Macaca fascicularis: one gene and its partners. The protein of the gene in region 2 interacts with the protein of the main gene of each other region in a pairwise test. Links are inferred from orthologs where the notes say so. Each region holds a gene or a part of one and is shown on either strand. Other genes may lie near its edges.

The links.
Region 1: the proteins of CEP70 (region 2) and ATP5PO interact in binary tests that used the Homo sapiens proteins (3 or more experiments, as listed by UniProt). The two-hybrid records come from large-scale screens. The link is inferred for Macaca fascicularis from reciprocal best matches to the Homo sapiens genes CEP70 and ATP5PO.
Region 3: the proteins of CEP70 (region 2) and SUV39H2 interact in a two-hybrid assay, tested with the Homo sapiens proteins (2 studies listed by BioGRID and IntAct). The link is inferred for Macaca fascicularis from reciprocal best matches to the Homo sapiens genes CEP70 and SUV39H2.
Region 4: the proteins of CEP70 (region 2) and ZNF302 interact in binary tests that used the Homo sapiens proteins (3 or more experiments, as listed by UniProt). The two-hybrid records come from large-scale screens. The link is inferred for Macaca fascicularis from reciprocal best matches to the Homo sapiens genes CEP70 and ZNF302.
Region 5: the proteins of CEP70 (region 2) and SYTL5 interact in binary tests that used the Homo sapiens proteins (3 or more experiments, as listed by UniProt). The two-hybrid records come from large-scale screens. The link is inferred for Macaca fascicularis from reciprocal best matches to the Homo sapiens genes CEP70 and SYTL5.
Region 6: the proteins of CEP70 (region 2) and ARHGEF3 interact in binary tests that used the Homo sapiens proteins (3 or more experiments, as listed by UniProt). The link is inferred for Macaca fascicularis from reciprocal best matches to the Homo sapiens genes CEP70 and ARHGEF3.
Region 7: the proteins of CEP70 (region 2) and ZBTB16 interact in binary tests that used the Homo sapiens proteins (3 or more experiments, as listed by UniProt). The two-hybrid records come from large-scale screens. The link is inferred for Macaca fascicularis from reciprocal best matches to the Homo sapiens genes CEP70 and ZBTB16.

What each region holds. Positions count from the first base shown.
Region 1 is NC_088377.1:13,016,715-13,020,214, forward strand, and holds part of ATP5PO (ATP synthase peripheral stalk subunit OSCP, mitochondrial), read left to right. Parts: intron 1-69; coding exon 70-180; intron 181-3,500. UniProt on the Homo sapiens protein: Subunit OSCP, of the mitochondrial membrane ATP synthase complex (F(1)F(0) ATP synthase or Complex V) that produces ATP from ADP in the presence of a proton gradient across the membrane which is generated by electron transport complexes of the respiratory chain.
Region 2 is NC_088376.1:41,433,976-41,437,927, forward strand, and holds the start of CEP70 (centrosomal protein of 70 kDa), read right to left. Parts: upstream 2,801-3,952; 5' UTR 2,224-2,800; intron 438-2,223; 5' UTR 344-437; coding exon of another isoform or gene 335-343; intron 1-334.
Region 3 is NC_088383.1:15,808,148-15,812,445, reverse strand, and holds the start of SUV39H2 (histone-lysine N-methyltransferase SUV39H2), read right to left. Parts: upstream 2,801-4,298; 5' UTR 2,778-2,800; coding exon 2,747-2,777; exon of another isoform or gene 2,706-2,746; intron 2,543-2,705; exon of another isoform or gene 2,163-2,542; intron 1,178-2,162; exon of another isoform or gene 1,117-1,177; coding exon of another isoform or gene 1,113-1,116; intron 166-1,112; coding exon 20-165; intron 1-19. UniProt on the Homo sapiens protein: Histone methyltransferase that specifically trimethylates 'Lys-9' of histone H3 using monomethylated H3 'Lys-9' as substrate.
Region 4 is NC_088393.1:41,934,038-41,938,076, reverse strand, and holds the start of ZNF302 (zinc finger protein 302), read right to left. Parts: upstream 2,801-4,039; 5' UTR 2,786-2,800; coding exon 2,720-2,785; intron 1-2,719. UniProt on the Homo sapiens protein: May be involved in transcriptional regulation.
Region 5 is NC_088395.1:37,836,405-37,840,523, reverse strand, and holds the start of SYTL5 (synaptotagmin-like protein 5), read right to left. Parts: upstream 2,801-4,119; 5' UTR 2,542-2,800; intron 2,234-2,541; exon of another isoform or gene 2,075-2,233; intron 1-2,074. UniProt on the Homo sapiens protein: May act as Rab effector protein and play a role in vesicle trafficking. Binds phospholipids.
Region 6 is NC_088376.1:120,162,251-120,166,475, forward strand, and holds the start of ARHGEF3 (rho guanine nucleotide exchange factor 3), read right to left. Parts: upstream 2,801-4,225; 5' UTR 2,085-2,800; intron 1-2,084. UniProt on the Homo sapiens protein: Acts as a guanine nucleotide exchange factor (GEF) for RhoA and RhoB GTPases.
Region 7 is NC_088388.1:112,988,218-112,992,339, reverse strand, and holds the start of ZBTB16 (zinc finger and BTB domain-containing protein 16), read right to left. Parts: upstream 2,801-4,122; 5' UTR 1,935-2,800; exon of another isoform or gene 1,148-1,934; 5' UTR 1,053-1,147; exon of another isoform or gene 1-1,052. UniProt on the Homo sapiens protein: Acts as a transcriptional repressor. Transcriptional repression may be mediated through recruitment of histone deacetylases to target promoters. May play a role in myeloid maturation and in the development and/or maintenance of other differentiated tissues.

The DNA of each region.
Region 1 (3,500 bases), on a different chromosome or scaffold from region 2:
GCTCTTGACAGTATACTATTAACTGATTTTCCTTTTTGCTTCCTCTCCTATTTCACCTTTTCTTTAAAGCCTCCTGTTCAGGTATACGGTATTGAAGGTCGCTATGCCACGGCTCTTTATTCTGCTGCATCAAAACAGAATAAGTTGGAGCAAGTAGAAAAGGAGTTGTTGAGAGTAGCAGTAAGTAGCTTTCCTATTCATTATATATTAAGTTCCTGTTTGTATATTTTTTCCTTTGGTTGGTTGACTGCATTCCTAATGAGGTGTATCCTCCAAGAAAAAGAACTGGGAAAAAGCCATTTTCTGTAAACACGTTTTTAGTGATAATGTTGGGTTTTTGTTATTATAAAACATATAAAAAGAACAAACAGATACATATAAGGATATTAATATTAGGAACCAAGATTTGGGGCTAAGAAAAGATAGAAATGTAAAATTAAAATAGATGATAATTTAGGAAAATTGCTATTTCAGTGGAGAATTTAAAAGCTACCTTTAAAAATCTATACTTATAACTGGGCACGGTGCTCACACCTATAATCCCAGTACTTTGGGAGGCCGAGGCAGGTGGATCAGGAGTTCATGAGTTTGAGACCAGCCTGGCCAACATAGTGAAACCCCATCTCTACTAAAAACTACAAAAAATTGGCGGGGCATGGTGGTGAACACCTGTAATCCCAGCTACTCTGGAGGCTGAGGCGGGAGAATTGCTTGAACCTGGGAGGCCGAGGCTGCAGTGAGCTGAGATCGCACCATTGCACTCCAGCCTGGGTGATGGTGCAAGACTATCTCAAAAAAAAAAAAAAAAAAAAAAAAAAAAAGATTATATGCTTCTGGGCTAGGTCTTTAGAATATATTGTGATTGGGTTTTACGGAGAATTTGTTTTCATAAAACCTTTGCCTCGGGTTTTAATTGCCATATTCTATGCTTGTAGAATCAGAGGAGGCTCAGACATGTCTTACAGGTTGTTTTCATTTGGTAGAGATGCTTTGCAATTGTCAGAACCCCAGAAGTAACCATGTAGACCTTTTCATTGTTATTTTGTTCCCAAAATGTGACAGAAGAATGACAGGCTGGGGCACGCTGGGCAGCAGAGTTAGTAAAGGGGTATGGGCTTCCCAGGGGTAATAGAGGACTGACAGGCAAAGACTGTGAGGCCGCTGCAGGATGTTTGTAACTTTTTTTTAAACATGAAAAGCAGAATAAATAAACCGTATTAACAGAAGCCTACATTGTAACTCAATAGGAGAATGTCTGCTTTCATTTTCACTGAATTTTCTAGTTAACAAGTTTCTACACATTCTGTTGCTTCTTTCTTTGATTTTCTGGCTGCTACCACTGGCAGTAAGGTCTGCATTAAAAAAGGTGAAGGAGACGCAGTCTGGTATATAGCCTCTTCGGAGGAAGTTTTGTTCTTTCTTGATTTTAAGATTCTTCATTCCTTGGCCGGGCGCAGTGGCTTACACCTGTAATCCCAACACTTTGGGAGGCCGAGACGGGTAGATCATGAGGTCAGGAGATCGAGACCATCCTGGCTAACATGGTGAAACCCCATCTCTACTAAAAATACAAAAAAGCCCGGCATGGCGGCATGTGCCTGTAGTCCCAGCTGCTGGGGAGGCTGAGGCAGGAGAATGGCGTGAACCCGGGAGGCGGAGCTTGCAGTGAGCCGAGATCATGCCATTGTACTCCAGCCTGGGTAACAGAACAAGACTCTGTCTCAAAAACAAAAAAAAGATTCTTCATTCCTTAATTCATATGTCTGTAAGTTTTTATTGTTTAGGAAAAACAGTTCATAGGCCAGTTGTATAGAATAATAATTCTTATGTTCTATATTAATCATCGTGTGTATAGTCTATAAGTATTACTGTTCTGTACTGTTTATGTTTTATTCATTTTTCACTTGAGCTTCTGTTGGAACTTCCGTCTTAACAGGCAGAATAATTTTAGCTCCATATTCCTTCCTTGATCCATTTACCTCTGCAGATAATGCTTAAGGTCTTAGCTGGTGTGATAAACTCTTAATGATTCTCACAGAGCCCAGGAACCCAGCCCTGTTGTTGGAGACATTTGGAGGAAGGGCATGCAGGAACAGACGGGGTCTCACACAGGCGTTTTTGGAGGTGATGGTTATTGTCTGCTACTTGTCAGTTATGCCCATTTTAAACAGAAACAATCGTGTTTACAATGGAGAGAATGACTTGGATTGTGGGCATTAGAATGGAGTTTGTCTAAAGCCTGGAAGTCAGTCAAGACATGGAGAAAAAGGGAGGCAATTATCTGAAGACACTCTGAATATTAGCAGAGTTTTGGCATTAAGAGGGAAGGATAATGCAAGCATCATACTCACTGTCCTCTGGATGATGCAGGAGACACAGATAAACATGAAAAACTAGGTAACCCAAATTCCAGAATGCTTTCAATCTGTGTATGCCTGCATTTTTTATGGAAAAATGTCATTTCTGTGGGGTCACTCAAGTGGAAATGTTAGCATTGGATGATAGTATCTGACCAGTATCCTGGATCAGAGACAGGATTCTGGCCAGGAGCCTGGGAGGAGGTGCTAGGAGAGTAATTGAGGCATAGAGAGGTGTGTTAACTGAAGGTGCTTGACTGGAAGCTGCCATTGTTGGTTTGTTGGAACTCTGGAGCAACATGCTGGAAGCTGCACTTGGTCACTGAATGCAGATATTTGTGATATAACAAAATGAGAAGAAGGTCGTTTCCCATGATGGTTGTGCTCCCGTTTTTTGTCCACTCTGTCTCCCAGACTCTTTGGGTCTGGCTGCTCTGGCAGCACCAGAGGTCTCGCAGAATCTGCTGGGTTCCCTGGACACTGTAAGAGGCAGGACCCCTCCAAGGGAGCAGTGAGGAGGCCTCTGCAGTCAGAGCACAGTTTTGAGGTCTGCACTTTAGAAATAGCACTGCTAGAAAAGCCAGACTAATACTCTTAAATACATTAAAATATGCAGTCAAGTGAAGTTTGGCTGCTTAGTGTTTTATAATCTTTCTTGAAAAGCAAAAATAAATTTAAGAAATTTCATACAGTATTTTTAAATTTTTTTGAGGAACATCATTCTATCCTATATAAAATCCTGGTGCAGTGCAGTGTATTCTGAAAGGCCGTCAGAAAATTGTTTGATTATAATATTTTTGTCATAAGTTCTTTGGCAGTGCTAATTTAATTCATAAAATACTTAATTCATAAGAAAGTGTGTGTATGGCCAGGCACAGTGGCTCATGCCTGTAATCGCAGCACTTTGGGAGGCCGAGGTGGGTGGATCACTTGAGGTCAGGAGTTTAAGACCAGCCTGGCCAACATGGCAAAACCCCTTTTCTACTAAAAATACAAAAATTAGTCAGACATGGTGGCGCACACCTGTAATCCCAGCTATCTGGGAGGCTGAGGCAGGAGAATCGCTTGAACCCAGGATGCAGAGGTTGCGTGAGCCAAGATTGTGCCACTGCACTCCAGCCTAGGCGACAGAGCAAGACTTTG
Region 2 (3,952 bases):
CAATTTCCTCATCATAAAATGAGGATAATAAAAGTACTCAGCTCACAAATTAAAGATTAGGAGAGTTAATACAGAAAGAACATAAAGCATTGCCTGGCACACAGCAGGATGGAGACAGTGATTAGAGTTGGTGATCAGCTTTCTGTGTTATCTTAAGTAGGTACTTAACCTCTCTGAGCTTCAGCTTCTTTGCTAAGTTGTAAAATATCTACCTGATAGGATTATCAGGAAGTCCAAAGGAAATATATGTAATGAACCTAGTATAGTACTCAACAAATTACATACTTTTCCGTGGTCTCCCAACATCTGGAGTCATCCGTTACATTAGACATACCTCAGTCATAGCATACTACTCTTGCACTTTACACCTGGTCATTCAGGTTGATCTCAATGAAATGATCACCCAACGAGTCTCATGTCTGAAACTGGATCTTCATCTAGGTTTCAAAAAGATAAAAAGAAGAAAATCTTGAAATGTTCAGCTTCCTAGTAAGAATGGTCTTCTGTTACTCCCAGAGCAGGCATCCATGGTACTGGTAATCACAGATAAACCAGGCACAACTGAAATAACTGCTAATGCCCTTCCCAGCTCACTACCATACACCTCTTCCCTTCTCTTCTCTCCCCTTATCTTTCCTCTCCCTACCTTGCTAAGACATTTAGCTGGGTATCCAAATCTATCATCATCTATCATCAATTCTGACTTCCGGCTCCACAGGTAGGATATTCTCATTTGCAAGGATACTAAAATGAAGCATCCTCAGACAAACTACAACTGATCACAAAAGCAAACACAGGAACAAAACTACTCCTCATTTGCACCTGTGACCAAACCCTCCTTTTCAGAGGTCCATTCTATGAAATTAACAGGCCAATAGTTTGCAGCAGCCTTTTCCCCACTACAGGCTGTCCCTACTTCCAGGACAAAGGTCTGGAACTTTTAAAGTCACAGGAAGAGACCAAATGCCTTCTAGGGCCAAAACAGAAGCTACAGCTTTAATTAGTGTCATAATACACTTAAAATAAGATGGTGGGGGTAGGAGTCAGAGGGTAGGAGTTGTCTTGTACATGGCATAGTAAGCCAGGCATAGAAAAGCAAAAACATAATTGTATCTTCTGACACTTTCTAGGTTTCCCGAGTGTTTCAGCCAAATTGCCCTTTATAGGTCTGAAGTCCCTTGTAACATGCTCCATACCTTAAAATTTAATTATCTTTTCACCATTTGGGGTCGGGGAGGGGAGCTGACAATAAACCATGGCCAGTAACTGTTCCTTCTCAACTGAATCACAACAAAATCTGTAAGCGTCTTCAAAAGCATATACTTCAAATTACTGCAATAAATGAACATGTAACCCTTTCGAAGTCTCTATTCCTTATTAAATGCAAAAGCTCTATTCTGAAAATATGGCAACTTGCTGTTTAATGTTCCTAAGAAAGAGTTGAACCTACCCCAAATAGGAAAGAGTTAAAATGGAATGTCATCTCAACCAAATCATTCTGTCTCGCGAGAGGTGACATGAAGCGGCAGAACCTTGCTTTGAAGCAAAAGCTGTAGGGAAAACTCCAAGTCAGCCACCTCTTCCCCAAAAGGCAGGGTTAGGGGAGGCCAGAGTCTACTTGGCAATATTTAAAGTACAAAACTCATTGCAGAGGCTTGAAACCAATATGGATAATGCCTGCACAGTGTTTAATATAATATTCATACATATATATATATATATATATATATATTTTTTTTTTTTTTTTTTGATACGGAACCTCGCTCTCCAGGCTGGAGTGCAGTGGCACGATCTCAGCTCCCAGCAACCTCCGCCTCCCGAGTTCAAGCGATTCTCCTGCCTCAGCCTCCCGAGTTGCTGGATTACAGGCGCGCACCACCACGCCCGGCTAATTTTTGTATTTTTAGTAGAGACATGGTGGTTTCACCATGTTGGCCAGGGTGGTCTCGAACTCCTGACCTCAGGTGATCCGCTCACCTCGGCCTCCCAAAGTGCTGAGATTACAGGCGTGAGCCACTGCGCCCGGCCTGTTTAATATTAACAGTGATTGAAACACTGATTGAAAAACAGTGGCAGTAAAAAAGGAAACTCAGGTCTCTCTGTTACAGGTGTCTTAGCCTTCCGACATTTTTCACCTTGAAAAACTCCTATTAGGCCCTGTATAAAGTCAGAGGTCTCCTGAATCCGGAATGAGGTTAATAAACCAGAGAAAGAGATACTCACCTGTGCTATTCGCCTAACCGCCCCCTTCTGCTCCGAGTCCTCACTCCCCAAACCACCTTCGCGGTTGTTTGCCACAAAACGGGCGCTTCAGTCCGGGTCGATTTTGGGGGATGGAGTAATTACCTACAGCTTAAATCGAACCTGTGCCCGCTGTGATTCTAAGCTTTACTCTTACTGCCTCATTTAACCCACACAACCACTTTGTAAGGCGAGAATTACCAGCTTTAGTATACAAATAAAGAATCCGAGGCGCTGAGACATTAAAGGAGAAGCCAAAGAACACAAAGCCTGGGGAGCTGGGGCTAGCACGCAGGTTTGTCCCATCCCCAAACCCTTACGCAGGGATTTGTAATTGGCGCGACCCTATCCCAGGCGGCTCCTCCCTGACAAGGGTCAGTCTGACCACTGTTAGGCCCAGGTGAGGTCAAGTCCGGGGTGCTCCGAGAAGGGGCTCACGACTACACCTCTGAGAGCCCCGAGCGCCACTCACCTTCCTCAGTCGCCGCCTCCCACCAGCAGCCAGCCCGGCCCCGGCTAGGCTGGGATTACTACATCAGGCCCCGCCTCCGCGACCGTTACCTCCGCCGGGGAAGGGCGGCCAATCGAGCCCGAGCGCGTCGAGGGCCAGCCCCTCTTTAGCCTGCGAACGCCCCCAAACGATTCTCTCCAGCCTCACCCGGAAGCTGGGTCCGCCCCGCACCCTCCGGTTGGCTCAGCTACTGGGGGCGGGGCTTATCGCAAACGCAGGCGTCGGCTAGTCGTGGGCAAGCTGGCGTTTCCATCGCTCTCCTTAGGTACCCTGTCACTTACATGGAGCCTTATTTGCCTGGAAGATGTCAGACATACTTGTGGCCGTAGGTGAAAGTGAAGCCTGGGTTACCTGGCCTCCAGAGACTGCCCTCTCTCTCGCCCCCTACCCCGCCGCTACTACGAGCTCTTGCTGGGGTACGGGTCAGCATGTTCTCGATGTTCCAGACCTGGCTGACCACTGTAGCAGCTGACATTTGGAGGACCCCAATAAATGTTTGTTGATGACATTTCTTCCGATTCAGCATTTTCCACATCTCGACGAAGCTTCAGGCCCTACCTCAGGCTGTAAATGTCCACCATTTTGATTGTATCTTATAGCCACATGGTGTCGCTGTTGACAACCTGTCTTTTCAAATCAGTCAAATGATGTAGGTGTGCGTAGATGCAGATCCCACAGGAGCCAGCAGGGATGTCCCATCGAGGGCATCAGCCAACGGTCTCTCATCAGGAGGTCCAAGGGCTCTTGGAGCTCAATAGTTTCAGACCCTTCTTAGCATTCTTCCAGGCAGCTGGAACTACACTTAAGTTTAATCTCTGTGTTTGCCCCATACAAACATGTCCCTACCACAACCTACGCCCACCCACTGTGCTTTCTATACCTGGATATTCACTCTCACGATGGTTAGCAGATTTGCATTTTCAGTTCTCAAATCGCAAATAGTCTCAGTGCTTCCCTTTTCCAAGACAATAGGGTACCCTTGCATACTCTTCTGAGCATGGCTGCCCTAACTGTAGAGGCCAAACATCTTTGGGTCAGTTATGATTATTTTGGATGCATGTGATATGAAATCTGAGTTAAATTGTCTTCCTAAAAAATGAGGAAGTTGCTTATCTCGCATAACAGAAAGCCCAGAAGCAAGGGAGACTTTAATTCAGTGGCTCAGCAAGTTAACAAGGACCCAGTTGCTATTAGTCTCTG
Region 3 (4,298 bases), on a different chromosome or scaffold from region 2:
GGCTAGACATTTGCCTTACCTTTACTACCTTGTAGTCACACAAGTATTCCACCTCATAATTGTTTAGATTCCTTTTGGTGATTCCAATCGATTTACATGTGAGCTTTTCTTTTCTACATAATTCCTGAAGAGTATCAAGTGAAACTAGGCAAGGCACACACCAAGCTACAATAAGAAAATAGAATTCTTTACTAATGAAATAGCTATTCAATTAAAATAAAAAAGAGAAAAACCCTCTATTCCCCAACTTTCAACTGGCAATTTTAGACTAAAAATTCCTATGACAAGAAACCAATTATGCGTCTTCAAGAAAAAGTTAAACATTAAGGAACTATTTCGTTAAATTGGTGTTCTTGGATTTTCTCATGGATTTCTACTCCACTATGTTTAACTGACATCAGTTGATTTCCATTAAGTCACTCGAAAATGTTTCATGTCTGTAAGCTTTTTAAAAATTATATGCAGATGCAGGTCAACGAGGTAGTGTTTCTTACTTTCATTGTATTCTACATAGACTATAATCACTATTTTAATAAAATGTAAATCTCTAGGACACTTATTCTTAAAAACACATCTAAAATATACTTTAAAACAACATTATAATTCGTTAACACATAACTCATTTTTTTTTAACTGGACAAAACGAACTGAAATCTAATTAAAATATATTTCTACGTTACAAACTCATATGTTAGTTTTCTCTTTGAAATGTTGCATGAAGCTTTAATTCCACTTATTATTTTACCCATACTGCAATATATTATCACCAAGGTGAATAAACTCGAGTTATTAAAAAAATGGAGAGTATATTGATATTTTGTAATACTTATTGACTGTATTGTTTTTAAAGCCAAACTTTTAAAACGGTGTTCAATTTACATAAGCCATGTACTAAACTCAAAGAAAATTAGACATACTTATCATCAACCCTCCAGAAGCCAGAAACTAATTGTGTTCCAGAAGATTTGACCCTCAAATTTCTGTAAGTAGCATGTTACCACACTGAATTTAAAGTGTAAATTAACAAACACGTTTAGGAAAATGGAACAAACTTGGTGTTAGGGCCAGTGTCATGGTAAGCACTAGACAGGATCAAAAGTCCTCTGCCCTACCCATCGCTCAGCCACCGAGCTATGTGACTTTAGTGAAGTCTCAATCTGTCTGGCTGTCACATTCACTGGAAAAAAATGGAGAAAACTGGTGTTACCAAACAAAATCTATCAGTAAACTCAAGCTTTACTTGGTAGCTCTCCAAGGTAGTTGCGATCACCTTTTATGTTTTGAGGTAATTTCAGGAAAGGGAGAACACTTGTTAGCAGCAATAACTTTTCCTGCACCCTTTCCTCATCCTCCCCACCTCACACAGAGACTACTTCATTGTCAGAAACCCTTAAGCATAATTTCCACCATCTCACTGGCTGCAAACGACTCCATCCTAAAGCAGTAAAGAGAAAGGTATTTTCCTCCAGAAAACGTGGGGGAAGAGGCCGATTGCTTTGGAGTGGTCGTTTGGGGGTAGGACAGTGATAGGAGAGAAATGACCCCGTAAGTCCCTTACATCTAAAAAAACTAGAGGACGTTTTGTGTTAAGCTGACCTCACTAAGGGGATCACGTATAAAGGTGGTTCCTCTTGAGTATCTACCCAAGGTGTGTTTGTGTGCTTTTCCTAAACATTTTTATCTAGTTGAGGATTCAAAACACAACCCGCAAAGGAAATGCTCTTCGAGAATTTAAAGGAAAAAAAAAAAGTGAACATGAAAAACTGCAAACACGTGGTTAAAAAAAAGCAAAACGACAATCTCTCAAGTCTCCAGTAATGTAGAAATATATTTCACTGACAAAATTAAATAGTTCATGACCACCACAAACACCTTCCGCTAGCTTAGTTCACAGTAACCCCTGACATTCTCCAAGGAAGAAAAACTCGGGGATAATGAGGTCATAATCCAAGTGGAGAGGAGGCGAGCTTGAAAACACCTTTACATTCCAGAACGCACGGAAAAGTTCCAGGCTCTCAAAGCGTGCGCGACACCAACACCCCCCGACGCCCACACCCACGCGCGCTCGGTGCCCAATTCCCCAGCGTCCACAGAAATAACACCAAGCTCCCGGTGGGTGGAAGAGTTACCGTAAGCCAGAGGCTGCAACCTCAAATACCCACTTTCTGGGCGACTCTCCAACGAGGCACTCAACCTCCTAGCGTGTCCGCCTTGTGGGGGGGGGGGGGTTCCTCGGTTATCCCCTTAGCACACAGGAGCCCCGATTTCCTCTCCCCCTCTGATATTAAGGTCATGTTCACGCCGGCGGGCGTCGCTTCCCGCCTCCCACTTCAAAGGCCCGGGCGCATGCCGCACGCCGCGCTCGAACCACCACAAAGGAGCCAGTCGCAGCCGGGCCCCCGGGACCTCCAGCCGGGGACCGCCGGGGAGCGGCCCCGACCCCCGAAGCCACCACGGGAGACGCCAAGGGGGCCGGGCCGAGCGGGCGGAGAGGCCACGCTCCGCAGCCGAAGCGCCCCAGGCTCGCGCGGTGCCCACCTCCGCGGCGGGAGCCGGCCGGGCAGGGAGGCGGGTCAGCGGCCTGGGGGAGGGTAGGCGCCCGCAGCGTGCGTCCCGGAGTCGGGGGCGCGGCGGCCGGGGAACCGCCACGTCGCCGTCTGGCTGGCCCGCGGGCCGGCCCCGCCGCCTGGGCCTTGGGAGCTTGCCTGGGAACGGGGAGGGCGAGGGGGCCGCGCTCCAGCCTCACCTCCTCGCGCCTCGGCCCCGACCGCCGCCATCTTGTGGAGCTTTCATTCAAACTGGCGCGGTCTGACGGGATAGCTCAGCTGGCCCGACGCCCCGCCCCTGGCCGGCCCGCGCGGGACGTGGGGGCCGGGGCTTGTAGGGGGGATGGAACCCGCACGGCGTCCTGACGTCACTGGCGGCCGACCCCCCGCCGCGGCGGTCAGCGCGCCTGCGCCCCAAGGGTAGGCCCGGCCCCAAAAGCGAGGAGCCGAGCGGGGCGGAGCGAGCGCGCGCGCGTGCTTTGGGATGCTGTGCGGTGTCCGGCGCCCATACCCTGAGCCAGGCCCGTTTGGCGCATTCACTCGGGAGGACGTCGGCCAGGGACGGTGCCTTTCGGGTCTGGTTCCGCAGCCACCGCAGCTCGGCGGGCCATGGTTAGGCTCCCCCCGACCCCACTTCCCTAGAGCACCGGGCCTCGGAAGCGGCCGCACATGGGCACGGCTGGAGAGGTTCCGCTGGCTTGGTGCAGTCGCCGGGATTCCGACTGGTTGGTGTGGGGTGTGGCCTGTGCTGCCCAGCTCCCAGCTGATCCTAATGTGCGGCACAGCTGAAACCGCCAGTCTCCATCAGTGCTTCTCACACTTAAAAGGGGTTTACGAATCGTCGTGGGGGGGAGGTGCGGACTTGGAATTTTTTGAGAGATGGGGTCTCACTCTGTCACCAAGCTCAAGTGCAGTGGCGCGATTACGGCTCACTGCAGTCTCGACCTCCTGGGCTCAACTTTTAATGTAAATTGGGACTGGGTAGGTCTGTAAGGAGACCCGAGCCCCCCTCCCGTGTTGTTGACAAGCTCCTGAGCTCGGCCTGCTGACGGGTGGGGGCCGGGAGGAAGAGGACTTGTTGGTAAGGAGGCTGCAGGGCGACTCCGGGGGCCTCCCACCTGGTCTCCACCCCCTCCCCCCAGCCATTCTTGACGCCGCATCCATATGACTGTTTTAAACAACCTAAAGCAGAAATCTTAGAGCAAATAACGAAAACTGGCAGAAAGCCATTTGATGTCTACTAAGGACTTAAACGCAGACCATTAAAGGACTGGTTATTTGATTCCATTATGAAATACTGTCTAGCCGTCTTAAAAAGATGTTCATGAAGCTTTTAGTGTTAAGCAAAAACAAAACAAATCCCCCTGAAATATAGTTTTAACTAGGAAAAAAATGTATAGGAAAATAACGAAATACAGCCTTTCGAAGTGATTTTAACTTCTCGTTTTTACATATTTAATCATTTTCTACGATGAGCATCTCACTACCTTGATATAAGGAATAAAAGGCCCTACCCAACCCTATCACCTGGAAGAGCATCCAGGCCCTTTAAGGCGTAGTCTATCTAGGATTATGCCTTCAGGCCCTTTAAGATACAGCCTCCCGTCCTAACCGACCCCAAGCACTCATTGCCTCTCCTGTATGTTTTCAGAGCCCTCCAAGGAGCGGCCTTCGCTACTCACTGGTCATTCCTGAATCCCTTTTTGGCTCCTTTTCCTCAGTCCAGCCTGGGTTCCTCAGGGAAGGGACTGT
Region 4 (4,039 bases), on a different chromosome or scaffold from region 2:
CAGTTAAGTAATAACAGGACAGTTATGTAGTTGGAATTAACATACAATAAAGGGGACAGTTATGTAGTTAGAATTTTTACACAATAAGAATGAGAGACAAATATGATAGCTTCACTTCAGTAGAGTTAATTTTGTTAAAAGTTTAGAATTATATGAATTTTTAAAAGGCAACATTTGACATTTGACAGCACAAAGTATTTAGTTATATCTTTTAGAGCTAAGTGCTAGTAATTAAAAATAAGTAATTAAAATAAGTAAGTGAAAATAAGGCTAAAGTGATTGTCTCTCAAATGGGATACTCAGGAAGATTCACTAAAGCTCACAAAAAATGGGTTCAGAAAAAAAGACATCTTTATATTAAAGACTGATAAGACATATGGTTTGATTGTATTCCCTAAAAAAGCATATATTGAACTAATCGCCATTCTAATAGTATTGAGAGGTGAGACCTTTAGGAGATGATTGGCCTTGAGGACTCTGTCCTCATGAATGGATTAATGTCATCATTAGGGGAGAGGGTTCCTTATTTTAAAAAATGAGTTCAGGCCCCTCTTTGCCTCTCTCTCTTCTCTTTGCCCATCCACCATAAAATGACACAGCAAGAAGGCCTTTGCCAGATGTCTGCCCCTTAGTCTTGGACTTCCCAGGCACCAAAACCATGAGAAGTCAATTTTCATTATTTATAAACTACTCAGTCTGGGGTATTCTGTTACAGCAGCACAAACAGACTAAAATATACACACAACTGATTCATAAACAAAAAACAAAAATATATTTATGGTGTATACTTAAACTGAGTACTGACAAACATTTAATAATTGAAATATGAGACTCCTGGGTGAAAAGACTGAAGATGTCATAGATCAGGGGTCTACCGCCCGGTCACGGACTGGTACTGGTCTGTGGCTTTTAGGAATGGGGCAACACAGCAGGAGGTAAGTGGCAGGGAAGTGAGCATTACCACCGGAGCTCCGCCTGCTGTCAGATCAGCTCTGGCATAGATTCTTAGAGGAGCGCAATCTCTACTGTGAACTGCGCATGCAAGGGATCGAGGTTGCACACTCCTTATGTGAATCTAACTAACGCCTGATTATCTGACGTAGAACAGTTTCGTCCCCAAACCACTACCTCCACCACCTCCCACTTTCATGGAAAAATTGTTTTCCACAAAACTGATCCCTGGTGTCAAAAAGGTTGAGGACTCCTGCCATAGACAGTCCTTAAATAGGACCTGGAAGTAACAGAAAAAAACAAAAGAGCACATTTCAAAGAAAATATTCTAAAAAAAATGCTCACAGATGTACTTAGAAATTCTTCTCAATAGTACTCATTTCACAGTATTATTTAAAATAGTAAAACTTTAGAAGCTTAAATATTCAATAGTAGCTTATTGGCTAGTCAAATTACAATATGTGCAAAAAGTACATCCATTTAATACAGCATTATTACTGTCTGTGATCTGTAAAACAGACTGCTCTACTGTGGTTATTTTTTAGCTCTGAGAGTTCATTCAGTATTGTAGCACTTTATTTGGATATTTTGCATGCATGTTCACAAGTGACATGGGTCTTTGGTTTTAAAGCCAGAATTTACTTTTCTCAGGTTTGGGGAAAACAATTAAAATTCAAACCTCCTTCCAATGGCAGAAAATCCTCTCCACAAATGTAGAAACAAAAAGAAAACGGTTTTATTACTGAATAAGCATTAAATCAGACCTTGAGGCACTTCACAAGCAATCCACTATTGAGATTAAAAGGACAGGAAGAAATCTCATCTTATTATATAGGCAAGCAGATACAATCCAACACATATGTTTTCCAAATAAACAATAACTTATCCTCAAGTAAGATTTGACAGTTCAATTTGCTACACAAAATTTATTCTAAATTCACCTGTTAATTGGAGTTGCCACTGTGTTAGTTAATTGCCTATATCCCAAATAAAAATAACATTTCTCATATCTTTGACAAACCAGTCATTACAACTTAGAGCCAGAATGCTTCTTTCTTCCCCTTCAGTTGCCCGGGCAGCTTGAGATGTTCACTCATCTGAGCCCCCAAAAGAACATAGGATATCTATGCTAGCACTTATTTAAATTTCTTATGCTTTCTTACTTTTCTACCAGTGCTGCAATCTTCAACACAGGAGCCACTAGCCAACTTGGCTACAACATTTAAATTAATTAAAATGTAAAAATAAAATAATTAAATAAAATTTAAAATTCATTTCCTCTGTTGCTTAAGCTAAAATTCGAGTACTCAATAGTCACACAGGGCTGGTGGCTACCGTACTGACTAGTACACATGCAGAACACTTCCACCACTGCAGAAAGTTCTCTTAGACAATACTGCACTAGATCATGAAGTTCTGTGTGTCAGTGTACACTGAAATCCATGTATAACTTTTCCTAACAGGTACTTTGTAAGTGTTTAGAAGATGAACCAATGAATCGTTTTGGTATTAGCTCACTTTAGCCTTTCCTTTTTTTTTTTTTTTTTTTTAAGAGACAGGTTCTTGCCCTATCACCAAGCTGGAGTGCAGTGACATAATCATAGCTCACTACAGCCTCAACCCACAGGGCTCAAGAAATCTTCCCACTTCATCAGCCTCCCAAGTAGCTGGGACAACAGGCATGCACCACTACGCCAGTTTTTCAGTTCTAATTATCTAATTATTCCAGGAAAACAGACTTCACCCAACATGTACATCTGCTACTTACATCCCCTCCTGTGCAAGCTTCACCTTCCATGCCATGATTCTGCCCCACCAGTTCTTCATTACTCATCTTATTCACCCAACAATTACCTACTAATCTATTTGGTGCCAGGTAACACTCTGGGTACTGAAGCTATAGCAGTCAACAAAAAAGAAAAAACATTCCTCCCACCAGGAACAGACAATGAGCAGGTGCATATACTGAACATACAGTACATCAGCTAGTGAGTGACACGCGCCATGGAAAACAAAGCAGTGATGGAGGAGTGGAAGTGCTGGTCAAGGGAAGGTGACTGCAATTGCAAATAGGCGTTCAGGGAAGCTTTTCTGAGAAAGTAACCACGGAACAAATACATGAAGGAGATAAGAATGCAAGCTTATGCATATGTAGGGAAAGAATATTCCACGTGGATGGCACAGCAACTGGTGACAGTGGCTAGAGCTCAAAGGAATGAGGAGGCAGAGAAGGAAGGTGGGATCAGAGAGGTAATGGCCTAACTGTACAAATAGGTCACTGCAGAAGTGACTCAGTTAGAGCCACTGAAAAATTTTAGGTTGAAGAATAACAGGAATTTATATAACAATAGTATCACAGTAACAGTTGTACTGAGAATAGATTGATGCGGGTTAAGGGCAGATGCTGGGAATACAGCTAGGAGGCTACCCCAATAATCCAGGTGGCTCAGACTGGTGGTAGGGGTGGTGGTGGTGATGGGCTAGCTAATGGTTAGATGCTGTACACGGTGTATCGTTTAGATCCAACTAGAGGACCGGAATATTAGTTATAAATCAAAAGGAAGAATCAAGGATGACTCCAAACATCTCTTCACTTGAGACCACATGGTACAGTTTTGACAACCATAAACCAAATAACCTTACATTCCAAAGTTGCATTGTGAATTACAGTTTAAAAATTTTGGCAATCTAGAAAGTCTTCTAGCAGAAAACTGTAGAAAAGAGGAACACTGGGTGAAGAGAGCAATACCTTGGTGTTCTCTTGTGGGCTCCATCCTTCCTATAGTGAAAGGAACCATAGATCCAGTCCCTTAAATGGACTTGATTAGGTGGGAATAGGCAGAAGCAAAGCAAACACACAGAGGCCTCATGAAGTGTTTCAGGAAGACTTGGGGACACACCGACTTACCTGAGCCATTATTCTGCAATTTCCAGTAGCCAATAGAGTCCCCTTTCCAGGCTCTTATCTTACAGATGGGCAGTGTCCTGAGGGCACAGAAGGACAGGAAACAGTAGTCATGAAAAATAAGGCTGGCACCTGTGACACACCATAATGGAAAGGCACACTGGTAATCACTCTCCGGGGCGC
Region 5 (4,119 bases), on a different chromosome or scaffold from region 2:
TGATTTGGCACCCTTAAAATACCATACACCCTTGTGGAGAGGGGAACTCTGCTCTAAATGTGTGCTTTTGCTATGTTGATTAACGTTTAGTATTTTACTTGGCCCGAACATTGATCACAGGTGCAAATAGACTTATCTTCTTGACAGTCTAGTAGACTTTCTGGTTAGTTCCACAGATACATCACCTACCTGCCTCTCCCTGGCTGCCTTTCCACTATAGAAGCTGAAAAAAACTGATACTTTCCCAGTCTCCTTTGCCACTAAGGGCAGCTATGTGCCCCAGATATTGCCAATGAGATCAAAGTAGGATTCTGTTAGATAAATTTGGGGAAAGATATTTTTTCTTTGATAAGAAAGTTGCATGAGGAAAAATACTCTGACCTTTTCCACCCTGTTTCCTGTCATTGAACATGGGATCAGGACTCAGTGTCTTGAGCTGTTAGAGCCATCTTGAAGCCGTGAGGGTAAGACACTGACTCAGAACCCCGATATTGTTGGGTCACTGAATCAACTCCAGTTATCACCTGCTGTCAGACTTCTCTATTTTTTTTTTTTTCTTTTTGAGAGACAGGGTCTTACTCTGTCACCCAGCCTAGAATGCAGTGGTGCAATCATAGTTCATTGCAGCTTTAAAATCCTGGGCTCAAGGGATCCTCCCACCTCCGCCTCCTGTGTAGCTGGGACCACGGGCACATGCTACTATGCCCAGCTAAACTTCTGTAGTATTACAAGCCATGTTTAGTTGGCTTTTCTGTTACTTTCAGCAAAAAATAAAAATAAATAAAAATAAAGTTAAAGTTCACAACAATATACAGATTTTTTCAAATATAGAAAACTCTCATTTATTTAGGACACAGTGTATTCCGAGGATCCACACTTTGAGTATCATTGAATTAAATGACTTATCTTTTAGGAGTGAAGAGAAAGAATGCCCAGGTGGATTTCAAGGAATGGTAAACCTAATCTGGACTGCCAAATTATTTTATTCATTCATTTTTTTTAAACAGACCTTACTTTACTAGACTCCAGGGATACAAAGATTAATAAGGCATTACCCTTGTTTTCACATAAATGTTATTACTCTAAGCAAGATGGATATGTAAACCAAGAATCATAAGGTGGTAAGAGCTAAGACAGAGGTATGTAGAGGAGAGAAGTTATGTTATCAGAGAAGTGGGAAGCTTAACGGCTCCCTGGGGAGGACATTGGAAGAGGATCATGGAAGCTTCCATTCAACTCTAAAAAATTATTCCAGTGATCTGACTAAACATGTAAGGTTTTATTAATTTTATTTCAAGGAGGGGTCTTTTCTATAATTATAGGTTATAAAACGAATGGCAATTCAAGAAAGATCAGGGATTAATCAACTGCCAGAAAAGATTCCCCCATCCATTTTTCTCTCCCACAAAGCAAGACAAAAACATGGTTTTGTGTGTGCGTGTTGGGGGTGGGGGGGCGGTGGTGTGCATATCAACAGGGTTGTTTTCTAGAATAGAATACTTCTGTGTTGTGAATTAAGACCACCTGTTAACATTGCATCAAACCAAACAATTTGATGGTAAAGCAATCAGTCATCAACATGAACCACAAATTCATGCATTCCAAGAGATGCTCTCCTCTGCTCCTTTTAAGCAAAAATGACAATAATTAGTATTTACTTAATAGTCACAGAAACATTTTGCATTTAGTGATAGAGAAAGGGGAAATATCTCCCCCCCGCCACCACACCACCAAAATGTTTTTCTAAAAGTGGTTAATAGAAGGAACTCCCTAACCTTAGAGGAGAAACTAACACGTAGTTTTGCACTGTTAAATCCTTATAAGAAACAGAACAGGTCCTCACTGGTTGTCTTGCAAGGGAATAATAGGCTTTGGAGCATATCTGAAAATAGAGAAAATAAAACCAGCAATAGTCTTCTAAAATTTTCCTGGAATACAATACGTTAAAAAATAAAACATTCAATAGTGTCCTTCAATGAATGTTTCAACATTGTGGCATTCACATTAATTGTGCCTCCGGAACATTTTGATTCAGTCAATGATAGCGAGATAGATATGCAACAACTGCAGTTACCTTAAGCGCTGGCATGTCCTGGGCTGAAGAGGGTTGTTCCAAGATCCCAACTCAGGCTGCAGTAAAACATCTGCCACCTCGCAGAGAATGAAGAAGCCACTCTGGCAAAGGATCCCAGCTAAGCCCTCTGACTCTCCTGTCCCCACCTCTAAGAATTACACCGGAGGAAAGTGGGGGAGGAGGGAAATACACGAAACAAACATAACATTCCTAGCTCCATAAACGCCGCATTCGGACATGTGAAGGTACTTGGGAAATTAAGAATATGGCCCCAGAGTTTTGTTTATCTGCGGTCTGAGCACAGATTTTATATTCTCTGTTGCGTTTTTTAAATCTAACTTTCTGTCTCCAATGGAGAAAGCCAGAGGGAGGAAGCAAAGGCAGACAGACACAGACTGGAAGACCCCCTCCCCGCGAGTCCCCCAAACAGTAAGCATCAGAAGACGAGAAACTTGCCTGGACCTCACCTAGACTGAGAGGCAGCTGGTCCAGCCTCTGGAGGGGGTCAGCCTGCTGGGATGAGTCGCTGAAGCTGGAGCTGAAATGCAGACCCCAGGCGGGAGGCAAAGTCCCGCTCCTAACCCAGGGGAACAGAGTGACTCACGCGCTTGGCTTCCGCCTCTGGGCGCTGTGCGCCCCTCTCCCTCCCCACCCCCAGCAAGTACCAGGACCTAGTGCCTCATGAGAGGCGGTCTCCAGGCGCCCCTGTCCACGGGGCTCACAGCCGGCTGCCCCCAGGCGGCGGCGCCAGAGTCGCGCTAGGCACAGCCCGCCCCTCAAGGCAGCCGCCCGCTGCCAAGGGGTGAGAGCCTCCTTCGTGGATCTCACTCTTCTCGGCTCCCCGCCACCCCAGAACCCCCTGACCCCGGGCTGACCATTTGAGCTCAACACACCTTTCATATACTACCTGGACGCGGCTTTGCAAAGTCCCTCCTGCAGGCTGTGCCAAACGGGCTTCAGGAGGTACAACCAGCCCCAGGACTTACAACCGGTCTGAAAAGACCCCACCCCCGCCATCCTTGGTCTCCACCTTGTGGTGGCTCCGGAAGCCTCTCAGCCCAGAAACAGGTGCAGCTGGCTCCTCAAGATCCCAGGTGTATCCTTTTCCATAGGTCTTTCCTTTCCTCCGACCCTACCTTGCAGGAACTGTCACCCCCCCCGCACCCCCCGCCACACACACACCCGTGGCCCATCTGACACATCCGCCTGCAAGGTGGATATGGCGATGCCCAAACTTCCCACAGTTTGTACCTATACCAGGAGTACCCTTACTGCTCACCACAGCCAAGGCACAAGTTACTCCCATGTCATCTCCTAGGAGCCCCGTTCCTTGTGGAGGAGTCTGCAAGTCTCTCCTCTCTCATATCCCCTCTGGGTCTTGGAAAAGTACTGTGGGGAATGATGGGACCTTGGTGCCAAGGGTCACCTCTCTAATCTGACATGGAATAAGAAAAGCCAAGACTCCACCCAAACTGGGTTTGGTGGCAGTGCTTCGTTGGGACAGTCAAGGTGTCCTGGGGTGCCAGGTTATAGAACGGTTAATAGCTTCAGCAAACGTGGCATGGGAATTCTGTCTCACGACCTTGTGTGTTCTGGTAAAGGTCATCTTGTTCTGCTAGGAGGAGTGGTAGGGGTGATGAACCCTCAGTCCTGCCTTCACCACATCAAAACTGGGGGGAAGAAGAAAATGTATAAAAAGAGTTCCTTTATCCCTGGCAAGGGTGAGGGATTATAGAGTTCAGAGAGAAAGAAACAAGAATAGGGAAGGGGTGGGTCATTTTCTCAACTTGAGGACAGCATTTCAGCTGTCAGACTTCTTGTAACTCTGATAAAGGATGGGGGTCCAATTTCAAAAAGTGGGCAATATCCCCTAACACACGCCCTTTCTTATCATCCCATTGCTTTCTTCTACCATTATAAACTGAGATCTCCCCCACAATTGGACACATAGGGACTATAAGTTACTCATTTCAATGTATTAGTAATCCAGCACATGGCCTAACACATAGTGGAAAATGAAGCTTTATTGAAAGCTCAGAAGTCTA
Region 6 (4,225 bases), about 79 Mb from region 2:
TAGCATGCAGGAGGCCACAGCTCGTCCTCATCACAGTGGTACAGGGACTGCATCTGGTTCTCTGTTCCCTCTCCTTCAATAGTTCTCTGTTCCCTCTCCTCCAATGGAACAGGCTATTGCAGGAGGCGACAAGTTCCCTGTGCCTAGAGGATTCAAGCTTAGGTTAAACAGTAACTAGGAAGAGATGTTGCAGAGGTGATTTAATCTGGAGGTGAAAGTATGCCACATTCATGGTCACTTTCAACCCTGAGCTCCCGACCAGCAACTAGTTCCTTTGCATTTCACTACTCTCCAAACTCGCCTCACTTCAGTCAATGGGTGTTCATTCACTCAGGACAGTTATTGTGCACCAGCTATATGCCATGGGCCAGGAGTCAGTAGTGAACAGGACAACACACCTCTGCCCTCTTGAATCCTATGTTCTCCTGGGTGGATGCACACAATAAACCCATAAATCAATGCATGAATAAGATCATCCCAGGCAAGCTCTATGAATAAAATACAAGAAAGAATGTGATAGAAACTAATGGGGGAGGGGCTGCTTTGGATAGAGTAGTCAGAAGAACCATCTGTACAGGGGAGACATCTGGGCAAAAGGGCAAGAAAGAGCCCAGCATGGAAGAAGTGATGGAAAAGCATGCTAGGTTGAGGGAACAGCAAGTGCAAAGGCCCTCAGAAGTCTTCTGAAAACTTGAACTCAAACGTTCATGAATTGCATCCCAGCCTAAAGGTCTCACCACAGGCCAACAGTGCCTAATCTCACAGCCTGCGTCTCTTTCCCCTAATTGACCAAGTCAAGGCTGACCTGTATTGCCTACTGAAAAGTGCGTTCTGGGAGGGTGAACAAGGGCAGCCCCCAATTTGCAGGGAATTGAGATGTAACGGGGGCAAGAACCTTCACTTTCCTACCAGAAGTTCAGAGTCCACTTACAGGCCTCATGGAGAATACAATGTAAGGGGAAACTTCTGGAAAAATAACTGTGCCTCATGTATATTTCAGGACATTCCCTGGGGCTCCAGGTACAGAGCTCTTATCTGTGGAGTTCAGAAGACAGAAACTAAATTTCCAAGAAGATACTAAACGGGTGCAGCCCAGGAGAACTCTACAGATGGAGGGAGCAATCTGCTAGAGATGAATGAATGCGGGAGAAGAAGACAAGATCAGGTCCCCGGACCCTGAAAGAGACTCCCGCACTCACAGAGACTAGACAATATCAGCCTGTCAGGGGACCCAAGGCCTAAAAGAATCAAGTGAAATCTACCCACCCTCCCCCCGCCAACAAGAGGCAAACATCCAATCGCACCCCAGAGCTTCCAAAGAAGATCCAAGACCCCACTTCCCAACAGAGTCCTTGACAAAGTTCATCTCTAATTCCACATTCTGAGATATACTTTGCACAAGGCTGGTTAGCCACAGGAAGTATTACAGCAAAGCTCAAATTTCCCAGGGCGGAAGAGAACACCATGGCTCCTGTGTAAACACCACCAGCTCCTTACCAGAAGAAGGGGAAGGAGCAACAGCCTGCAGACCCACCTCATTGAGAAGCTAGGGCTGTGTACGCGCTGTTAGATGTCAGTGATAATAATCACAAGAGCAGCTAACACAGAGGATTTATCCTGCCCCAGTCAGTATTTTAAGCACTTTATCCCTATACAAGTCTTTAAGGTTTGTACTATTTTCATCCCCACCTTACAGATGAGAAAACTGAGGCATAGGTAAGTGAAGTAACTTGCCCAGGACTACACAGCTAAGACAAAGATCCAGCGAAGCTCTCCTCCTCCACACCCCAGGGAAGAAAGTGGTTATACCTGGGTAGTGCATGAAACGCTTAAAAATAAGTTTCTACCGGTACATTCAGGTCAACTACCGTCTGGCAATTCCCACGTCCTCGCCCAGTGCGGGAAGCAAGCCTGGGACAGGCAGTAAATCCAGCAACCCGAGTCCTCTAGGAACAAGGCGCTCTGTTTCCGCAACATTCAAGCGCGTGATGGGGCCGCTGATAGTGCAAAAGCAGCTCTCCACCACCGCAAAGCCCATGGGAACCCGTTTCCACTCGGCTCAGTCGGCCTCAGAAAACGCTCACCCGTCTCTGGCTGCGAGGCACCCACGCTGACCTTAACCCCTTGGCGTCCGCCACCCTGGCGTCCTATCTCTGGATCTTCTGGCCGCTCGGTTTAAAAGATGCAGCCGCCGGGACAAGGGCCTCAGGCAGGCTGGGACGGTGCCCGCCGCCCGGAGCGCCCTGAGTCCGGCTCGCCCGCCGCGAAGTGACCCGCAGCCCTGTGAGCCGCCACCAGCAGCGCGCAACGCGACGCTGACCTGCGAGTGCCCCGCCAGGCTGGAGAAGAAAGTTGGGCGAAAGGGGCGCGTCCCAGGACAGGTGGCGCCTCCCTCCCAGGAAGTGGCTCCGGGAATTTTCGCTCAAGGGGCTACCCGGGGACCAGAGTCAGGGTCCCCAGCAGGAGCGACGACTGGTCGAGGTTGGCGGTGGCACTGCCCACTTGCACTGCGCCCAGTGCGCCCCCGTGCGCTGGACGTACCCTAGACCAGGGAGCGCTCAGGTCCCGCCGGGGGCGCCGAGACCTGGCGGGGTAACTCGGAGGTGGGAGTGGCGGGGGTCCAGCTCCGGGACCGGGGCAAAGGAGGAACCAGCCCGGAAGAGGGTCTCACTCCGGGAGATCTAGCGGGGGTGTCCCACCAAGGGGGTGTCCAGCCGGGAAGGGTCTAGCCGGGGAGCGGGGTTCCCGGCTGCTGCCCGCACTCACCTCGGCCCCCGCGCTAGTTCGGCCTCTCCAGGCTGGAGAACTCACCGCGGAGGCGGCGGCGGATCCCCTGGGCGGGGCGGGGCCGGGGGCGGGGAGGCCGGGCCGGCCACGTGGGCGGGAGGCGGGCCGGGGACCCCCGCGGGCGCCGAAGCCGGGCGACGCAGGACTAGGACGTGGCCACGCCCGGCCACCGCTCGACACTCCAGCTCCCCATGCACGGCCTAGGTCTACGGGAAGGCTAGAAAGAGGAGAGCGGAGACCCCAGGACATCCCTCCCCCGCCGCCACCTAAATCAGACTGAGGCTGAGAGAATTAACCGAGTCGGAGGAGTAAACAGCCCTGCCTCTGGCTCCAGCTGTCCCGCCAGAGAACGCGCCGCGGAAACCCCGAGGGTGGGTCGAGGGCCGGGTACCCTAGTGGGAGGGGACTCTCGTGCGGGGGTGGTAGGGGCTGCCCTAGCGGTCCAGGGCCAGAGCCTGCACGCGGAGCTCCCACCCCCACCGCTGGGCAGATCTTGGGCGTGTCAGATCTTGCCCAAGCCTCACTTTCCTCGATGGTGGAGGTGAGAATGAGAACGAGCTGCGTGAATCCGGGCGCACTGTAGGCTCTCAGGAATCGCCGGCTTGTAGGTGGACGCCGAGCCTGAAAGTGAGGAGCCTGGGTCGTGCATGCGGAAATCAACATGGGACTCTAAATAAAACGAGTTTCTGCAGGCATTCATTCATTCAACAGATGAACGCCTACGGTCCTCATCACCTCTTAAAATCAGAAATAAAGAATGCCCTAGACTGTCGTTACTGGGCTCTTAAGAAAATGTAAACCCCGATGCTAAAAATGAAAAATTCATCAGTTGCCCCCATGTGCCGGCAGTGCATTTTAGGTGCTTGATCGAAATTAACATTCACGACAGCCTGTGCGGGCCCGCTTCTCAAATGAAGAAATCGAAGCTTAGCGAGGTGAAGCCAGCCCCCAGAGCCAGAGGATCACAGTCTGGCCCCCTGTTTACAGAGGAAAGAGCATCAGCCCAAGGTACTAAGGCTCTTGCCCAGGTGCAGGAAGGGGGTGAGGGTTGAGAGCTCCCTGGGAGGCCACCTGTCGTGACAGCAGCAGCTGGGATGCAGATCTTCCAGATTTACTTCATAGCAACCTCTGCCTTCTGTTGCCAGTGCTCAGCCCCGCAGTGCTGGGTGGCCTCTTCCTGGCCTACAGCCCACCTTTTGGGCCAGAAACTGGGCATCTTGAGCAAACCAACTTCTATTCCAACAGCTGCAACTTCATTCCACTACAGCTTGACCCCAGACCCAATGCATTGTGACCCACCAGTTTCCTGTTCAGGGAACACACTCTCCCCAGTACTCCATTTCCAAGGACAACTCCTGTGTCCAGACCCCTAGTCCTCAGTCTTTTCCCCAAGAACCTTTTGTCATTCTCCTTACTCCCTAATGCAGAAGATCCCTAC
Region 7 (4,122 bases), on a different chromosome or scaffold from region 2:
CAAACTTAGGTCATTTCTACCCATGGAAGCCTCAAAGTTATTGTATGTATAATCTAAAATCTGCACTGTGTGTATGTACACCAGCCAGAGACAGAAAGAGTGTGTGGGGCAGGGTGTAGTGTCTCACGCCTCTAATCCCAGCACTTTGGGAGGCCCAGGCAGGCGGATCACCTGGGGTCGGGAGTTCGAGACCAGCCTGACCAACGTGGAGAAGCCCCGTCTCTACAAAACATACAAAATTAGCCAGGCGCGGTGGCACCCGCCTGTAATCCCAGCTACTAGCGAGGCTGAGGCAGGAGAATCACTTGAACCCGGGAGGCGGAGGTTGCGGTGAGCCGAGATTGTGCCATTGCGCTCCAGCCTGGGCAACAACAGCAAAACTCCGTCTCAGAAAAAAAAAAAAGCGTGTGTGTGTGTCTTTACATACACACACACACACACTTATATAAGGGGCCGTACCTACCGTCCTGCCCACAACTGGCCGGTGGACAGGAGGATCTAAAAAACGAAGAAGGATGGATCATTAAGGTATGGAGAGAGACCACAGTAAATATGCTCCCCTACAGCCAGGAGCGCTTATGCTGGGCTGGGTGTGTGAACTCCACGTGTGTCCCACAGGCTCCAAGGAGTCTGCAAGTCCTGTGACCAGGGGCAGCAAGGGATGCCGGACATGGCTCAGAGGCGCTGGAAGTGATATTGGCACCAGCATCTGTGGTGTGAGTTACAACCAGTACGAAGGGAAGACAGGGCTGGGAAACAAAGGCCTCTCCCAGAGCCTGTTCGGGATCAATAAGAGGGCTCCTAGACTCCAAACCCCGCTTAACGAGTGTTAGAAAGACCGCGCAGGCCCAGGGCCCTCCCCGTGTCTGCCTTGCAGCGACCAATATTGCAGTGAATGCACTGAGAGCAAGGAACAGCAAGGTCTCTCCCTCACTCTTCGAACACTGCTTGCTTGCCTCCACCCCCAAAAGAAGCTCTATCAGTTCAGGAGCCACCAAGCTCACGCAGAAAGGATTCACAGGACGGCTGGTCAAGACACTTTTGTTGCCTACCCCGGGGTGGGGACGGAGGCCGTCAAGGGTGGGATGAACATTCAGCAGAGCCTGGCCACCGCGTGCTTTCCCGCAGACATCGGGGCTTCTGAGAACTAGGAGGGAACAGCCAAAAGAATGGAAGCTTGGCGCCCCAAAACAAGCCCTTTGGGTCCTGAGGGAAATCGGGGCGCCCACGGGCAGCCGTCTTCCCCACCCGCCGCTCGGCGCCCGCGATTCGGCCGGCGCTGGCTGCAGCGTCCAGCCGGGCGGCGCGGGGAAGAACCGGCGAGAACCCGCCTGAGCTCCGGGGATCGACCGTGCTCTCACACGCCTCCAGTTCCCAGCGACCCCCCACCGAGACTTGGAGACGACTTCAGCAAACTTGGGGAAGCAACTTTTCCCGAGGAGCTAGACGCCTGAAAGATGAAGAGCTGGGCTAGGGACGAGGGAAAGCGAAAGAGACTGGGAAAAAAGGCGACAGTCCGGGCGGGCTGGACTCCGCGGGGAGAGCAGCAGGGAGGCGGACCCGCCCCGCGGCGAAGGGGAAGCACAAAAGCCCCGCAAACGAGTTGTAGGAGGAAAGGCGAGAAGGGGTCTGCCCGCCCTCCCTCTCCGACCCAGGGCCGTGACCCCCGGGAAGCGACCGGCTGGGTCCCCGGCCTCTGGCCAGCGGCGCCAGCGGCCGGCGCGCCCGTCCGAAGCACCGTGCGAGCGTCTCGCGGAGGCGGCGAGCGAGTCGGTGCGGAGCGCTCCGTGCGTCCCAGTGGGTCCGTGGGCCGGCGGGACCCTGCGCATTTCAAGCGCGTGCGGGCGTGTGCGAGGCGCTGTGCGAGCTAGCGGCGGGCGCGCCAGGGTGGGAAAGGCATCCCGAACGCATCAGGTGCAGAGACCCGCACCCACCGAGAGCGGCCGGGAGCGCACGGCGAGCTCCGGTGTCACCGCCGGTCCCGTCGAGAGCCGAGGAGGGCCCGGAGCGCTGGAGACCCTCTGGAGCTTCCCTCCCTCCCCTGCAAAAGGGGGGGATCAAGTCCAATCAATAAAAAGCCCACCACGTTTTTTCAAACAGAAACAAAACGTAAGCAGTCCCAGTCCTGTTCCCCTCCGCCCCCAGATCTACTCGTCAGCTCCTCCGATTCTAGCTTCCCAGCCGGCCGGCGAATAGACACACAAATAAATAAACCACAACCCTATCTCGCGCCCGCGCACCGGTCCGCATACATAAGAGCACCCACGGGCTCTGTTCCTCCGCTGGCCCCTGGCGGTACAAAGCCTCCGGATCCCCGACCCTCTGCTCACGCCCTCAGCCCCCGCAGACCGCTACGCCCCCCACCTCTCACCCCGACCGTGCCCTGGAGAGGAAGGGCTGGGGAGGCAGCTGTGCCCAGGCTGACAGCCGGGGCTCCCCCTTCTAGCCGACCCCCAACCGGTTGCGGCGACGGCTGCAGCGGCAGGAAGGGAACACGCCAAATAAAAAAGGCACAAGCCCAGCGGCCGAGTGGCCGAAGCGAGCGCGCGCCCCCCAGACCTCTCCAGCCCCGGGGAGCCCCGGCGCGCGGCGCTCGCTCGGCGGTGCGCCTCTTCCCGGCCCCTCACTCACCGCAGCCGAGCCGGGCACTGTGGGGTGGGTGTGCGTGCCTGTCGGGGGGTGTGTGCCTGTGTCGGGGAGGGGTGTTGCTGGGGAACTGTTGCTCTCCGTATCAAGGCGGCAGCGACAGCATCGCCCGGCAGTTCGCAGTACCCGCTCTCATCGCCCTCAACTCCTCTCTGCTGCGAGGTTAGCAAATCACCACCGGCTGCTGCGCCTCCGCCGCGTCCCACGTCAACGCCGAGCCCCCTCCCCTGCAAGGCCCCGGCGCCTCTCCATCTTTAGTGCTGGCGGCCGAGCCCGGCTCCCTGCCCACAGCTGCCCCCCTTCCCTCCCCCCTCCCGCGCCGTCCTCGGGCTCAGCCCGCCCACCACCCCGCACTGGCCGAGCCCGCGCGCGCTCCCCGCCCCACCTCTCCTTTCCCCTCCCCTCCCTTCCCCTCCCTTCCCCGCGCTCCGCGCTCCGGGCTTCGCCTGACATCTAGCTGCTGCTGGGGCGCTGGCGGCCGCCGCTCACCGGCCGAGCGGAGAGGAAGGAAGGAGCTAGAAGACAGGCGTGCAGGGGACGCGGAATCCTTAATAGGGGAACTGAGGGTGAAGGGCGCGCAGGAGCCCCCACCTCCTCCCAAGACTTTAATTTCCATTGGATACGAGTTTTGTCCCCCCTCCCCCGCACCCCGGTGCTCAAGCACGCAGTTTTGTCCCCTCTTCCAATGTTTGCCCCAATTCAGTGTGTGTCATCTCGCCTTTAACTTTTTTCTCATGGCTCTGGGCTGCATTCCCAGTAGCCCCTGACATCTGTTTCAAAAGGCCGCTTTCCTAGTCCAAACCCGGGCCTCTCATCCTTCTGGCTACTGCGCGCCTCCCGGCTTGAGCATCCGGATTTCAAGAAGTCTCCCGAGGCAGAGTTCGAGGGTCCTGGTGAACCAGGTGCCAGAAGGTCCGCGAGATCTGTTGTCGAAGCGAGAGGTCCCTTTTTAGCTGTCGCGATTGCTGGAGGCCAAGGTCGAGTCCTGGGAGAAACTTTTCTCTCTCTCAGACTTGGACAGCCTCTCGGCTCTGCCCGCACCCGACCCCCGACCCCCAGCAATCTGGGTGCAAACAGTTTCCGACAACTGCGCCCAGCTCAGTGCACAGTCTTCAGGGGGCAGGGGAAAACTTGGAAAAGCTCTGGGCCCCTCAGAAGTGCGTCCTCCTTCAGCGGGCCGTCCTGCTTTAGAGGGTAGAGAGGCCAAAGAAAATGTACCCTTCCTCTGACTGCAGAAAGCTGCCCTCTCCTCTTTTCCCTGGAGCTCAGCGAAGGTAGGGTGCCAGAGGTGGGAAGCGCTCTTTGGGCACCGGTTGTGGATTCTGACCAAAACCCAGGAGGTTGGGGTGGGAAGTGGGGGTGACCGAGAGCGCCATCCAGGGGTCTCAGGCCAGTCAGCCCTCGAGGTCACGTGGTTTTAGCAATGCGGGGCTTAGGTCACCGAGGCCTGGGTCTGCATGTTCTGTCCGTGACTCG